Saccharomyces cerevisiae S288C: one gene and its partners. Changing the gene in region 1 together with any one later gene gives a genetic interaction. Each region holds a gene or a part of one and is shown in the gene's direction. Other genes may lie near its edges.

What was found.
Region 2: mutations in SEC63 (region 1) and NUR1 together harm fitness more than expected from each alone (negative genetic interaction), as found in Saccharomyces cerevisiae (2 studies listed by BioGRID).
Region 3: mutations in SEC63 (region 1) and YET1 impair growth when combined (synthetic growth defect), as found in Saccharomyces cerevisiae (2 studies listed by BioGRID, with this or other methods).

What each region holds. Positions count from the first base shown.
Region 1 is NC_001147.6:804,265-809,211, reverse strand, and holds SEC63 (protein-transporting protein SEC63), read left to right. Parts: upstream 1-2,188; coding exon 2,189-4,180; downstream 4,181-4,947. Other genes in the region: TRE2 (putative zinc metalloprotease), read left to right, coding at 1-958; OSW1 (Osw1p), read right to left, coding at 1,105-1,941; peptide alpha-N-acetyltransferase subunit NAT5, read right to left, coding at 4,305-4,835. UniProt on the Saccharomyces cerevisiae protein: Acts as a component of the Sec62/63 complex which is involved in SRP-independent post-translational translocation across the endoplasmic reticulum (ER) and functions together with the Sec61 complex and KAR2 in a channel-forming translocon complex.
Region 2 is NC_001136.10:294,544-299,010, forward strand, and holds NUR1 (Nur1p), read left to right. Parts: upstream 1-2,276; coding exon 2,277-3,731; downstream 3,732-4,467. Other genes in the region: clathrin-mediated endocytosis regulator UBX3, read right to left, coding at 1-216; RAM1 (protein farnesyltransferase), read right to left, coding at 491-1,786; FG-nucleoporin ASM4, read right to left, coding at 3,874-4,467. UniProt on the Saccharomyces cerevisiae protein: Member of a perinuclear network that controls recombination at multiple loci to maintain genome stability. Required for rDNA repeat stability.
Region 3 is NC_001143.9:315,701-319,017, reverse strand, and holds YET1 (Yet1p), read left to right. Parts: upstream 1-1,960; coding exon 1,961-2,581; downstream 2,582-3,317. Other genes in the region: putative Mg(2+) transporter MNR2, read right to left, coding at 1-1,254; DPC7 (Dpc7p), read right to left, coding at 2,843-3,064. UniProt on the Saccharomyces cerevisiae protein: May play a role in anterograde transport of membrane proteins from the endoplasmic reticulum to the Golgi.

The sequences.
Region 1 (4,947 bases):
TGGTACCGAATTTAATTATGCTGGATCTTCGGAGCTGGTTGAGCAAAGGCTAACGCCATTAAAAGACGAAATTTATTCTTTGATTGATATTAGTCAACTGGGTATACCCTTTGCCGAAAAATATGAGAACGGTAAAACTAGAGGAGAATTAAGCATTGAGACACATCCCTTATTGAAGAAGTTTTTCAATAGAAACGCGCATGGAAACTTTGATATATCTGTGGATAATGTACAGCACTATGGTGACTGGACTCCATTTCTGGCAAATGGAATTCCTGTATCTGTAATATCTTCTGATTCTACGAGAAACCGTGACACCCCAACTGAAACATCTGAGGATAAATTTGAACGTGTTGAGAAGATTCTGGAAGACGAACAGAACCAACAATCTGTCAAGGATTTGCTAGTATATCTTTTACATATTAGTATGGAATTGATTGATGACCCGCTACTTCATTTTGACATAATAAGCTATGTTGAAGATATCGATGAAAGATTGCAAAGGTTAGAGCAAGCATACCCTGAAAAACTAAACTTCACATCAATAATCAAAGGTTTGTTATTTTGGAAGAAAATCGGTAGCGAATGGGCGTCATGGACTCAAGGTTGGGAGAACATAGTATGGTCGCATGGGGATGGTATAGAGCCCTCCTTACTTTCAATTAATAGGTGGACATGGAATAAAAAATTGACTAATATTGGTAGAAGAACATGCTCTCCGGCGGGTCTACCTAATAGATCATTTTATAAGAACGTTTTGTTCGGACCAACATTGATACAGGAGGATAAATCTAAAAATGGTGGAAATGTAGATTTCTGGACATTTCCAGGAGTGATGGATGCGATTTACGATGATGACTGGAAGAGGGCTCAAGAACAAATTGACCTTATTGGCAAAGTACTCCATCAGTCTGCTGCATTGTTTGTCGAAGAGACTAATGACATCGGGTATAAATAAATTGAACTGAAAGAATACATATTGTAAGTATAAGGAAGTATGTTAATAAAATTTTTTCTTTAATTATGTAATACATGGCATGCAAGCATTTCTTCTTTTTGGGATGCTTTTCCTCTTAGTATCCTATGTTTGTATATATCTTTTTGTTAAATGACACGAGAGAAGGAGACAATAGGATAATTTTGAAATTTCTGTATCACAATCGTATCTAGTTTCTTCTCTACACCTTTGTTTTGACGCGATGTTTCCTCTTCAAAAAGCTTCCCAAGCAACTTAGATTTTCCAATCTCCTGATTATTTCGTTTTTCTTTAGAAGATTTTTTAGAATGCCTGTGCAAAGAGTGATAATCTTTAACTCTCAGGGAATGGTCGTCACAAAATCTGATATATACCGAAGAGACTTCTTCTTCTACATCCTCTTCAAGAACACTAGGCCTAGTCTGCATCTTATTACTCCTACCCCCTAATTTGTCACTTCTTATAGTATTTTTATCGTGAAATATTATTTTAACATCAGCATGGTTTGCTGTGACTTTCTTGATCTTTCTAACGGTTTCTGCGCACTGTTGGTGTTCAACTTTGTGGATGCTTCCGTCTTTTCTCTTTAAATTATTGCCAAAAATTTCATTGTGATAGAACCTTAGGGCATATTTTCTTTTGCTTAATTTTAAACGAGACAAATTGTTCCTTTGCAGTACATATACCCTTGGTGATTCTTGGCAACCCTTGGGAAACCTTGCAATCAGTAGTGGTTTCTTTTTGGAACTTCCTGGACATAGTCCAGACGGTTCATTTATCATGTCCTCAATGTGTATTTCGGAGAGGGGGCTCAAGTTCCAGCGAGTATTATATTGGTGAATGTGAAGTTTGTGGACATGCCACCTCCTCTTTAATTTCCGGCCACTGAACAGTTGACACAGTCGAAAATATAGGTAAAAAAAATGACCAGATTTGGACTTTCTCGGTGAAGGTGGTGCTCTCATGCTTCTTTTCTATTTTGAGTTATTAACGTCTTAGCTTTATAATGTCACAATCTGACTTCATTACTGACACAATCGCTCTTATAACGCGAATTGGTCACTCGTTACGGAAAGGCGTTTTCTGAAAAATTTGTCTTGAACACGTCGAAGATCACTGAACGAATAAAAGATGCGACTGGAACAATAGTCAGTTATAATTGACCAAAGAAGGCCTTCGCAACAAAATAAATATACTGCATATTACAGCACAATGCCTACAAATTACGAGTATGATGAGGCTAGTGAGACGTGGCCGTCCTTCATTTTAACGGGGCTCTTGATGGTCGTCGGGCCTATGACACTGCTTCAAATATACCAAATTTTTTTTGGGGCCAATGCTGAAGATGGGAATTCAGGGAAGAGTAAGGAGTTTAATGAGGAAGTTTTCAAGAACTTGAATGAAGAATACACCAGTGATGAAATCAAACAATTTAGAAGGAAGTTTGATAAAAATAGTAATAAGAAGTCCAAAATATGGAGCAGGAGAAATATTATAATTATTGTGGGTTGGATCTTAGTTGCAATTCTTCTGCAAAGGATTAATAGTAATGACGCGATTAAAGACGCTGCTACAAAATTATTTGATCCTTATGAAATCCTTGGTATCTCTACTAGTGCTTCCGATAGAGACATCAAATCTGCTTATAGAAAATTATCTGTTAAATTTCATCCAGATAAATTAGCAAAGGGCCTAACACCTGATGAGAAAAGTGTGATGGAAGAAACTTATGTTCAGATTACGAAGGCTTACGAATCCCTTACTGACGAATTGGTTAGGCAAAACTATTTGAAATACGGTCATCCAGATGGCCCACAATCTACTTCACATGGTATCGCTCTACCAAGATTTTTGGTAGATGGAAGTGCATCTCCATTATTAGTGGTTTGTTATGTTGCGCTACTAGGTTTAATCTTGCCATATTTTGTTAGTAGATGGTGGGCAAGAACACAATCGTATACTAAGAAGGGAATACATAATGTGACGGCTTCTAATTTTGTTAGTAACTTAGTCAATTACAAGCCATCTGAGATTGTCACCACAGATTTGATCTTACACTGGTTATCATTTGCTCATGAATTTAAACAATTCTTCCCGGATTTGCAACCAACGGATTTTGAAAAACTTTTGCAAGATCATATTAACCGCAGAGATAGTGGTAAACTTAACAATGCGAAATTTAGAATAGTGGCCAAATGTCACTCTTTGTTACACGGTTTATTGGATATTGCTTGTGGATTCAGAAATTTAGATATTGCATTGGGTGCAATCAATACTTTCAAGTGTATTGTTCAGGCTGTACCATTAACACCAAACTGTCAAATCCTTCAATTGCCGAACGTAGATAAAGAGCACTTTATTACCAAAACCGGAGATATTCATACATTAGGTAAATTGTTTACTTTAGAAGATGCCAAGATTGGTGAGGTTCTTGGAATAAAGGATCAAGCAAAGTTAAACGAAACTTTGAGAGTTGCATCGCATATTCCAAATCTAAAGATCATCAAGGCAGACTTCCTTGTCCCAGGTGAGAACCAAGTAACACCATCATCTACCCCATACATTTCTTTGAAAGTACTGGTTCGTTCTGCTAAACAGCCATTGATACCAACTAGCTTAATTCCTGAAGAAAATTTAACAGAACCTCAAGATTTTGAATCTCAAAGAGATCCATTTGCTATGATGAGTAAACAGCCACTCGTCCCATATTCCTTTGCACCATTTTTCCCTACAAAGAGACGTGGGAGTTGGTGCTGTCTGGTAAGTTCTCAAAAAGATGGTAAAATACTTCAAACGCCAATTATCATTGAAAAGCTATCTTACAAGAACTTGAACGATGACAAAGATTTCTTTGATAAGAGGATAAAAATGGATTTAACCAAACACGAAAAATTCGATATAAATGATTGGGAAATCGGGACCATAAAAATTCCATTAGGTCAGCCTGCACCTGAAACTGTTGGTGATTTCTTTTTTAGAGTAATCGTTAAATCCACAGATTATTTCACTACAGATTTGGATATTACCATGAATATGAAAGTTCGTGATTCTCCTGCAGTGGAACAAGTAGAGGTGTATTCTGAGGAGGATGATGAGTACTCTACTGATGACGACGAAACCGAAAGTGATGATGAAAGTGATGCTAGCGATTATACTGATATCGATACGGATACAGAAGCTGAAGATGATGAATCACCAGAATAGATATAAGTGATTAGTATAGTTTTTCATTTTAGCTCTTAGACGTATATATTTCATCTTTATAAAAATAGATACATGTGTATACAAAGCAAAACCAAAAAAAAAAAAAAAATTTTTCAGCCATCTGTTAAGAAATGTGTTTTTTCAATAAGATAGCATCTTGTTCGTCGCCATTTACACCTTTTATGAAATTGTTGACAGTTTCGCCCACTTGTTCGAAGCCATGAGCTATAAACCATTGCTTTGTAAGATCATCCACTGCTGGTAAATAGACAAACACGTTATGTTGATGACATTCTGAGCATTTGTCTTCTGCAAACTTCAGTAATTTTGAACCGATGGATTTGTGCCTATAATTAGGCAACACGCCCAAAAATTCGATTTGAATGCCCTTGAGAGATAGTTCGTTTTGTTTTTTAGGAACTAATTTAGCAACCAAACCACCCACTGGTATTTCACTGTAATAAGCCATCTGTGTGAAATGTACATCCTTCTTCGAAGATGGCTTTTTATTTTTTGCAACTAAGCTATCCTCAGCGAATAATGCACTGAAGAAGGCATCTTGATATAAGTTTGGTACTGTCACATGAGCTAGTTTGGTTAGCATGCCCAAATTGTTAGCGTAAACATTGTCTAATGTGCATATATCACGGCCCATATTTCGCACTACTCCCTTCAATTGTCTTTGCCAATTTGTTTGTTACGGATTAATTTGTGAAAAAGCTTCGCTAATAATATCAATTTTCTTTTTTTTCTTTGCTTTTTCTACT
Region 2 (4,467 bases), on another chromosome or scaffold:
ATTCAATAAATAATAAAGAACTATTAGGGGAGCTTGAAATAAAAAATGGAGTATTGATTTTAAGCGTCCATCCCGGCTCTGTGTGGGTTCATTTGTATTGCTGTTTTGATCTTCTGTCCTTCCATTCAAATCAGCAGGTGGTTCTTCTCTAAAAGCACCTGGGATTCGAATAAAGGAATCATCATTATTTCCAAAAGTATGCCTAAATATATCCATGTTTAAAGGGTATGTTTAAATCGCAGTCAAGCCGATTGATGAGGTACAACAAAATTTGGGAGTACGATTGCCCGCTGTTTTTGAACTTACTCTCACTTTTTGCTTCGTATGTAATTAAGCAAGGATGTGTTACAATAAGATTTCGCTTTGTTATTATCGTTTTAAAAGCGGTCGCCGAAGTGTCGAATAAAGGACAATGATAACGTAAAGAGAAAGAAATTGGAAAGAGACTGACCGCTAAGGAGATTGAATACATATATATAATAGTATGTGGTTAACTTGGAGAAGATAAATTGGATTTAAAGTAGTGGATAATTTTTCTTACATTTTCTATTGGTAAACCATAGACAGGGTTGACATCAGTAAGTTTCGATGATCCAATTAGGCGGTCTGGAGTACACTTAATATTATGTGGAGAATCATTAGGAGTGCAACTGTATGAACTTTCCGCAACAGCCAGTCCTAATAGGCAATAATTTGTATGGTAAAAGTCTGAGTGGGCCCCTGGTTTATCTCTCAAACCAGGTTGCTCTTTTTCTTGGCAACAGTACAATATGTAGTCCCGAAGAGCATGTTTGTTGAAGCATTGGCCATATCCAAAAGCTTCAAGAATGGCAGCCGAACCTCCAACCCAAAAACTATAGCAACCGTCAACAAGTTTGTTGCTCCTTCCGCAAAATCCTCGTTCTTCTTGCAATTGACGAGCACTAGACCATTCTAAAAGCTTTTCAACATTTATTTGGTCCATGGACCTTAAAATTGCTAGACTAGCTGTAGCACAGAAAGTATAGCCTCCGTGTGCCTCATCTACGTGAGGACAACTGCCGAATCCACCTTCATAATTTTGACAATTTTTCAAATAGTTTAACACACCTTCTGTAAGCTCTTCTGTAAGAATATTTAATAAGGTTGCTATGCTCAAGGCACAGTATATACCTCTTGTATCCACTTCTCCGACTTCTAAACAGGTCTTGAATCCTCCATTAGGCTCTTTCAACGATATCAGCCATTGGTAAATTCCTTTTCGATCAATTCTGTCCCAGCATCCATCTATGTTATCGCAAAGGGAGAGAGCATTAATTGCAGCATAAGTGCTGGCCAAATGAGATAATTGGCCAGGACCTCCACCAAAGGGTCCTCCTGAAGGACTAATAGTAAAGAGCTTATCTACAATTTTTCTTTTGGTGTCATCTGAAAGCCAGTCTCTGTCCATTACCTTCAATGAGTTAGCAATCCAATATAGCATCCACGGTTGTGAAGCATCTAGTGCTGTCATTTGTGGAGGTAACGATATCTCAAAAGCGACATCCAAGTACATTTTGTGAAACTCTTTCGTGAGAGCAGGTTCTATATTCTTTTCATCATCGTATATCTCTAATACACTTTGTAGTACTTTGTATCGTGCTTCTGTAGTGTCGGTTTCTAGTTCCTTCATCAATGGTTGGATTGCTTTACTTGAATCTACATGCGCTATATCGACGACTCTTTCCATAACTGGTCTCTTTCTTCCTAATAAGGCAGTATTTATAAATTTAGCCCTAGCTATGGACCTTCCTACTCTCTGTCGCATACGCTTTGATTGCCTATAGCTTTACAAGCACTGCAGTTGTTTCTGCATAAGAACGGCGATGATATGGACCCTTGCTTGGTTTATCCTAGCCACTTTCGCGTGTTTCAGTTTCAAGCTTTCCTAATCAGGCAACAGCTTATACGAAAAGATTAATAAGTTACAATGTTAAACAGTTTCGCTTCAAGACCTCTAACGTTAGCCAGAAATAATAAGAATAGGTGGATTAAGTTACAAGTGTTTTTGTCCTCCTACTTAATCAGAACAGAGCACGGGAATAGTGATCTCTTTCAATAGCGAAAGGAGGGAAAAATAGCCCTGCAATATATAAAGGAAGAAGTTAACACCGTATTAAAAGGGGTGAGGCCGTTGGGACAAGTGGTAGTTTCCTTAAAGTCTGGTTTGATTGACAATATTTAGAAGTTAGTGAAACGAACAACCTAAAAAACTTTGTTGTGCAGTAGAGAGCTTTACATTTACCTTCGGCAGTAAAATGGGTTCAAATGATTTGATAAATGAAGCATATGACGACTCGGAAGTAGTTGGTGAGGAAAGAGAATCAAAATCTGCATGGATGAAGAGGTGGTATCAGCTACTTACTTCTCCTTTAGACTTGCAGTTGGTAATAAATGAAAAGTTAGAAATGATCAACTGGGATGCTTATGCTAAAAGTCTAGCTAAGCCATTAGGGAATTTTTTAACAATACTTTTTTTTATCATAAGACTCTTGCAGGACAATTTGATCAAGCCCAACTATTACAAACTAAACGTCAAGTCTGGCGCTTTCGATCTTTCTAAATCCAATAAATTAAAAGAGTTTGATTATCTATGGGAGATATCATCCAGCTTTCAAAACAATAATCAATTTTATGCATTTCAATCTTGGTATTTTGTTACCTTAAGGTTTTTGAATAATCTTTTCAGGTTTACTATTTTCATACTGCTGTCCCTGAACCTGTACGTAAGCTGTAAATTCATGTTTGGATACTTTAAGACTTACAATCTCTTCCATTTGAAAAAAGAGTTCAACTCCCCAAACCTCACTAAACACAACTTGAAGGATCTAAGCAAAGAATACTATGAAGATATTTATAAGCAGTCCTTGTGGTCTATGTTGAAGCATTTTTTCAGAGGATCTCGTGATGACGGTCCTCATGTTAATCAAAATGAAGATGAGATATTTTTTCAGTTAAGAAAATGGATCCCCACTAACTTCATGATTAATCTTTTTGTGTCTTTTTCACCAACGGCAATTGTTTTTTTAAGCTTTTCTGATGTTTCGTTTACTTCAGCAATTGCTATAGTATTCCATCAATATATTCTGGATTATATCATAACTAAGAGATTTCAAAGAAGCGTGGACGACGACTTGATTTTATCAAGTGCAGCTTTGCAAGAATATGAGGACAAGCATATAATGGCACGAATTAACCAATGCAGCAATATAGATACTCTATCATCTGCAATGGGTACTAGATCTAAAACACCGAGAATATTCACCACTCACTCCCTATGTGGCGAAGAAATCAGAGAGGTTTATAATTATGAAAAAAGGGAATTTGAGGCATTACCGAAAATGACAGAAAGTGTGCCAGGATCCCGTGAAACCAGAATAAAGGATTATGGAGGCATTTCTCAAGTATCTGACCATCAAAGTCATCCCATTGGTTTTCATTATTCTCCTAGAATGTCCCCATATTATAGGGATAAAGTTTTGGATAACAATTTGGCTCAATCATCGTCAAATGAAAATTTAGAGAAGGGCGGAGCTTACCTGCCGAATCAAGACCAAAATAGACCATCGAAATCCCTGAGCCCATTGAGAAAAACGCCTTTAAGCGCACGACAGAAAAGGTTTGAAGGCTCAGAGTTCAATGTATTGAATAAGAATGATATTAATTCCATTCTTCGCTCTCCAAAGAAAAAGAAGAACTATCACAAAAGATAACGTTTCTTAATTATGTCTAAGTATATACAGTTACGTAAAAATCAATAAACAAAAGTAAAACAATGCTGTTTGAAAAGTTATCAAAATAATAAATGTATGAAGTATTGTAAATGTTCATGAATAATTAGCTGGACGATTTCTGTTATAGGTCATTCCAACCAAATAACCAATTACTCAGTTTGTGCGTAAAACCAGCAGGTTCATTATTTCTGTATTTCGCTTCTTGCTGACGCATTTTCGATTCTAGGTTTCGCAACAGATTAGGAATATTCGAATTCGGTCCTGCATTTTGCATGAATGGCAATTTGCCATCTATTACATCCAGCCGCTTATTCGGAGAATTTGCTACTATTGGACTTGAAATATTTGTTGGATTACCAGCATGACCGGCAGGAGTATTATCGTCTTCCCTCAGAAGAGTGCCATCAGTTATTATTACGTTTGGTGGGGATGGTGTATTAGATGTCGACGATGTGGAGGAATTTTGATACATAGAAACGTTGAATTCTCCAATGTCGTCGACATTATCAATTTTGCAGCCAGCTAATTGCTCCACCGCATTTTTTGAATATGGGATGCAACCAATCAAAGAACCGCGAAATATGGTTCCATTTTCCTGCAGTGCTCTCAAAGCAGAAGATGGAGAATTATAAGTGAGTTTGACCCAACTTTCACCAGTAAATATTGGATATTTTTTGTTATTCGACTCATTATTTCTGCCTTTTAAAGTAATAGA
Region 3 (3,317 bases), on another chromosome or scaffold:
CAAATCCACCCTAAAATAAGTGAACCTGAAATGTTCTGGGTTATTAGAAATAATATGCGGAGGATATTGAATATTTCTGCCGACTAGTAAGTTATCTTGTAATCCGCTTTGAATTCTTGATTTTGAGTCCTTGGTTGAATTGGACCCAAGGACCATTGGACGTTGAATCAAATGCCATGGCGCAATTCTTTTTGGCCTTAAACGGCCGTTCTTCAAATTCTCTGTTTCGTTTACCCTTCTGTTTCCCAATTCAGGGACATCAATATTAGTTACGATTGGCTTTGAAAAAAGAATTCCATCTTCATTTGATGTTCCATCTTCCTCATCTTCATCGTATTGGAAGTGGAAAGCTTCAGCATCTTGAATAGCTTGACTTCTTAGTCTCTCTGTTTCTTCCTTGGAAAATTCTTCCAAAACAGTACAATCAGGCCAAGCTTTTGGCACTTCGCTACCCTCATCATCAAGCACTAAACAAACGTCATCCAAAGAAGAGTTATTTGAAGAAAGACTAGAAGATGGCCTTGAGTTATACTCATCCTCTTCATCGTTTGAATCACTGGATGTGGATTTGGAATTTTTGTTGCTACTATCATCAGAACCCCTCTTTTTCTTTCTTCTCTTGCTGTTATCATTAACCCCAGTACTTGCATTGTTGTTAACATGGTTCATTAACGCATCAACATCAATCACGACATCATTATTCGCGTTCGATTGTCTCCTATCGGTGGGGGAGTTTTCGTCAACAAAACTCTTATGAACAGATTTCCTTCTCTTCAGCCATGATTCAAGCTCTGAAGGGGATAAGTCCGATACTAATGATCTATTCTGATCAGAGGGTCTTAACCCTGCGGGTTTCTTGTAACTTGGTGTTGAAAACTTCATTATTGGCTGTGGTTGAACTGTGCTTGATACACTTTGAGGCCCCTCCCTAGGTTGGCTCATTGAAGGTCTATGATCAATGAACGCGCCCTTGAGCGATGGATCCTCACTTTTTATTATATCATTACTTGTAGAATCAGATTCATGCAGCATGCCCCAGGAATCGATCTGGTCGAAATCAGTAATCTGGCCGTGATTGTGTTGCAGATTATCATGCAGCAGTTGCGTTGGCCTACGTGAGTCTGACTTCAAGTGACCAACAAACTTGTCCTTTCTTCTTTTTTGATTGCGCTTCTTTTTCCTTAGTTGAGGGCTACTAGAGTAAGGGGAAAGCAAAGGAACACCTTCATCCTTTTGTGAGTTATCAGTGCTCATTTTTAATCTTTTTCTTCTCTACACTTCTCACTTTTATTCTCTCAATTTACTGTCGAAGTAAGGGGATAAACTCAGTGTAGCAATACGTACAACTTAGTCATCAAATGAAAAAATGCGGACTACCAAACCAGAAAATGATGAATAGTTATACAAGTATACGATAGTACAAAAATATATTTAAAGGGCCAGGTACTACTAACGACAACCTGGGCTAGGTTTCACATATCAAAAAGAAGTTATGGCTTATGTGCTCTTTCTAAGTTTGACTTTATGCCAAAAATTTCTCCGTAGATCGCCGCCCGTTGAAGCAGCAGAATATTTTAAGTGCGCCATAAAAACCTAGATAGAAAAGAAGGGAGAGAACATAAACGCAGAACACCACTACTTTTAAGGCGTACGCAAACTGTTGGGCTTATCTATATTGTACTATCTACCTACTTGCAACGTCTTTTACCTCCTCGATACGTACTGCTTATGCCCTGAACAATTTACATGTAACCCGCAGCTGCATGCTATATCACAGGATACGTTAACATAAAGGGGGCGCTACTAAACCCTCTGGCGCAGTGCAAAAATAGAAATATATGCCAAGTGGGACCTTGTATAGTTTCTGGTTTAAAGCTATTCGTTCATTGCAACGCTCCTTTCTGCTATCCTTTCGCAAAGTGGCAAGTACTGAAAACCGAGAAGAATAAATAATATTGCGATGAGTTTATACTTTACGACATTATTTTTATTGCTCACTGTTGAGATGGTAATGCTCTTCATCTTCGTTTTGCCTTTGCCATTCCGGATCCGTAGGGGTATTTTTAGCACCTATAACCAATTGACAGCGAAGCAGCAAATAAAAACTATAATCTTTATAACGGGTTGTCTTGTTGGCCTGTTGTTTATTGATTCATGGAAAAGGTCTCAAATTCGTGTTTCATTATACCACAACGACAACAGTGGCTCAATCGGGTCATCTGCTGTAACTCCAATACAGGCACTAGCATCAAGAGCGTACAATCAAAGAAATATGTATATTTCCGGGTTCATATTGTACTTTTCTATCTGTATCCCAACTGTCATGTCTATTGTCAAGAGACTGGTGAAATACCAAGGCTTAATCAACGAACAAGAAAAGCAAAAATTGAACAAACCTTCCTCAAACAGCAAGAAAGACTCAAATGAAGCTGATTCCACCAAACTTCAAGAGGAACTAAGGAAAAAGCAAATTTCTCTGGAGGGCCTACAAAAGCAAGTCAAAAACCTGGAGAAATATTTTGATGAGAAGAATCAACCTGGAAATGTAGCAGCTGCTGAAGCTTCCAAGAAAGGAAACTAAATAGATATATTTATGTATAAATGTATATACGTGTTACCTCTGGTGCTCATACTTCTCTGGTCGCGACGCAATACGAAAATGCTACTGAAATAAAAAGCAAGCGATTAGATCAAATGAATATATGCATTATATGTTACCAACTTTATTTTTTTTGAATATAGACGAAAAAACGTTAGAGAAAGACATAAAAAAAAAAGATTGAGCTTCGTGACTCGGTTTACCATTCTGTGTTATATACGAAAACCCTTATATAACAACTTTTTAAATTTTTTTCTCATTTTGGTATATCTTTTTAATTTCACTATGTTTGCTATCGTTCTTATAAAACAAATAAAGTAGAACTGGAATCATAACACCCACAGAACCGACCATTAGTCTAGATGTTTGTTTCTTAGGATTAGACCCTATCACAGGCTCAAAATCCTTTGAGGATACATATCTCCTACTTGTCCGTTGTAATAATTTCAAAATATTAGATCTCATCATTTAAAAATGTAAGCTTTTTTTTACTTGAGTTTTTGTTGTCAGAGTTAGGTCCAAAGTCCCTAGAATAGTGTACGCGATAAAACTCAGCTGCAAGTCTAATATATACATTCCGCCAGAAATTTCAATTTGGGATCCCTGCATATTGCCAAATTTATTGGAGAAACTGTTAAACCTAAAAGAACGGTAGTAGCTCTATCAACTTAAGGGTTGGGCACCCTTAAATGTTTCATTCAATAGGGAGATCCATTTC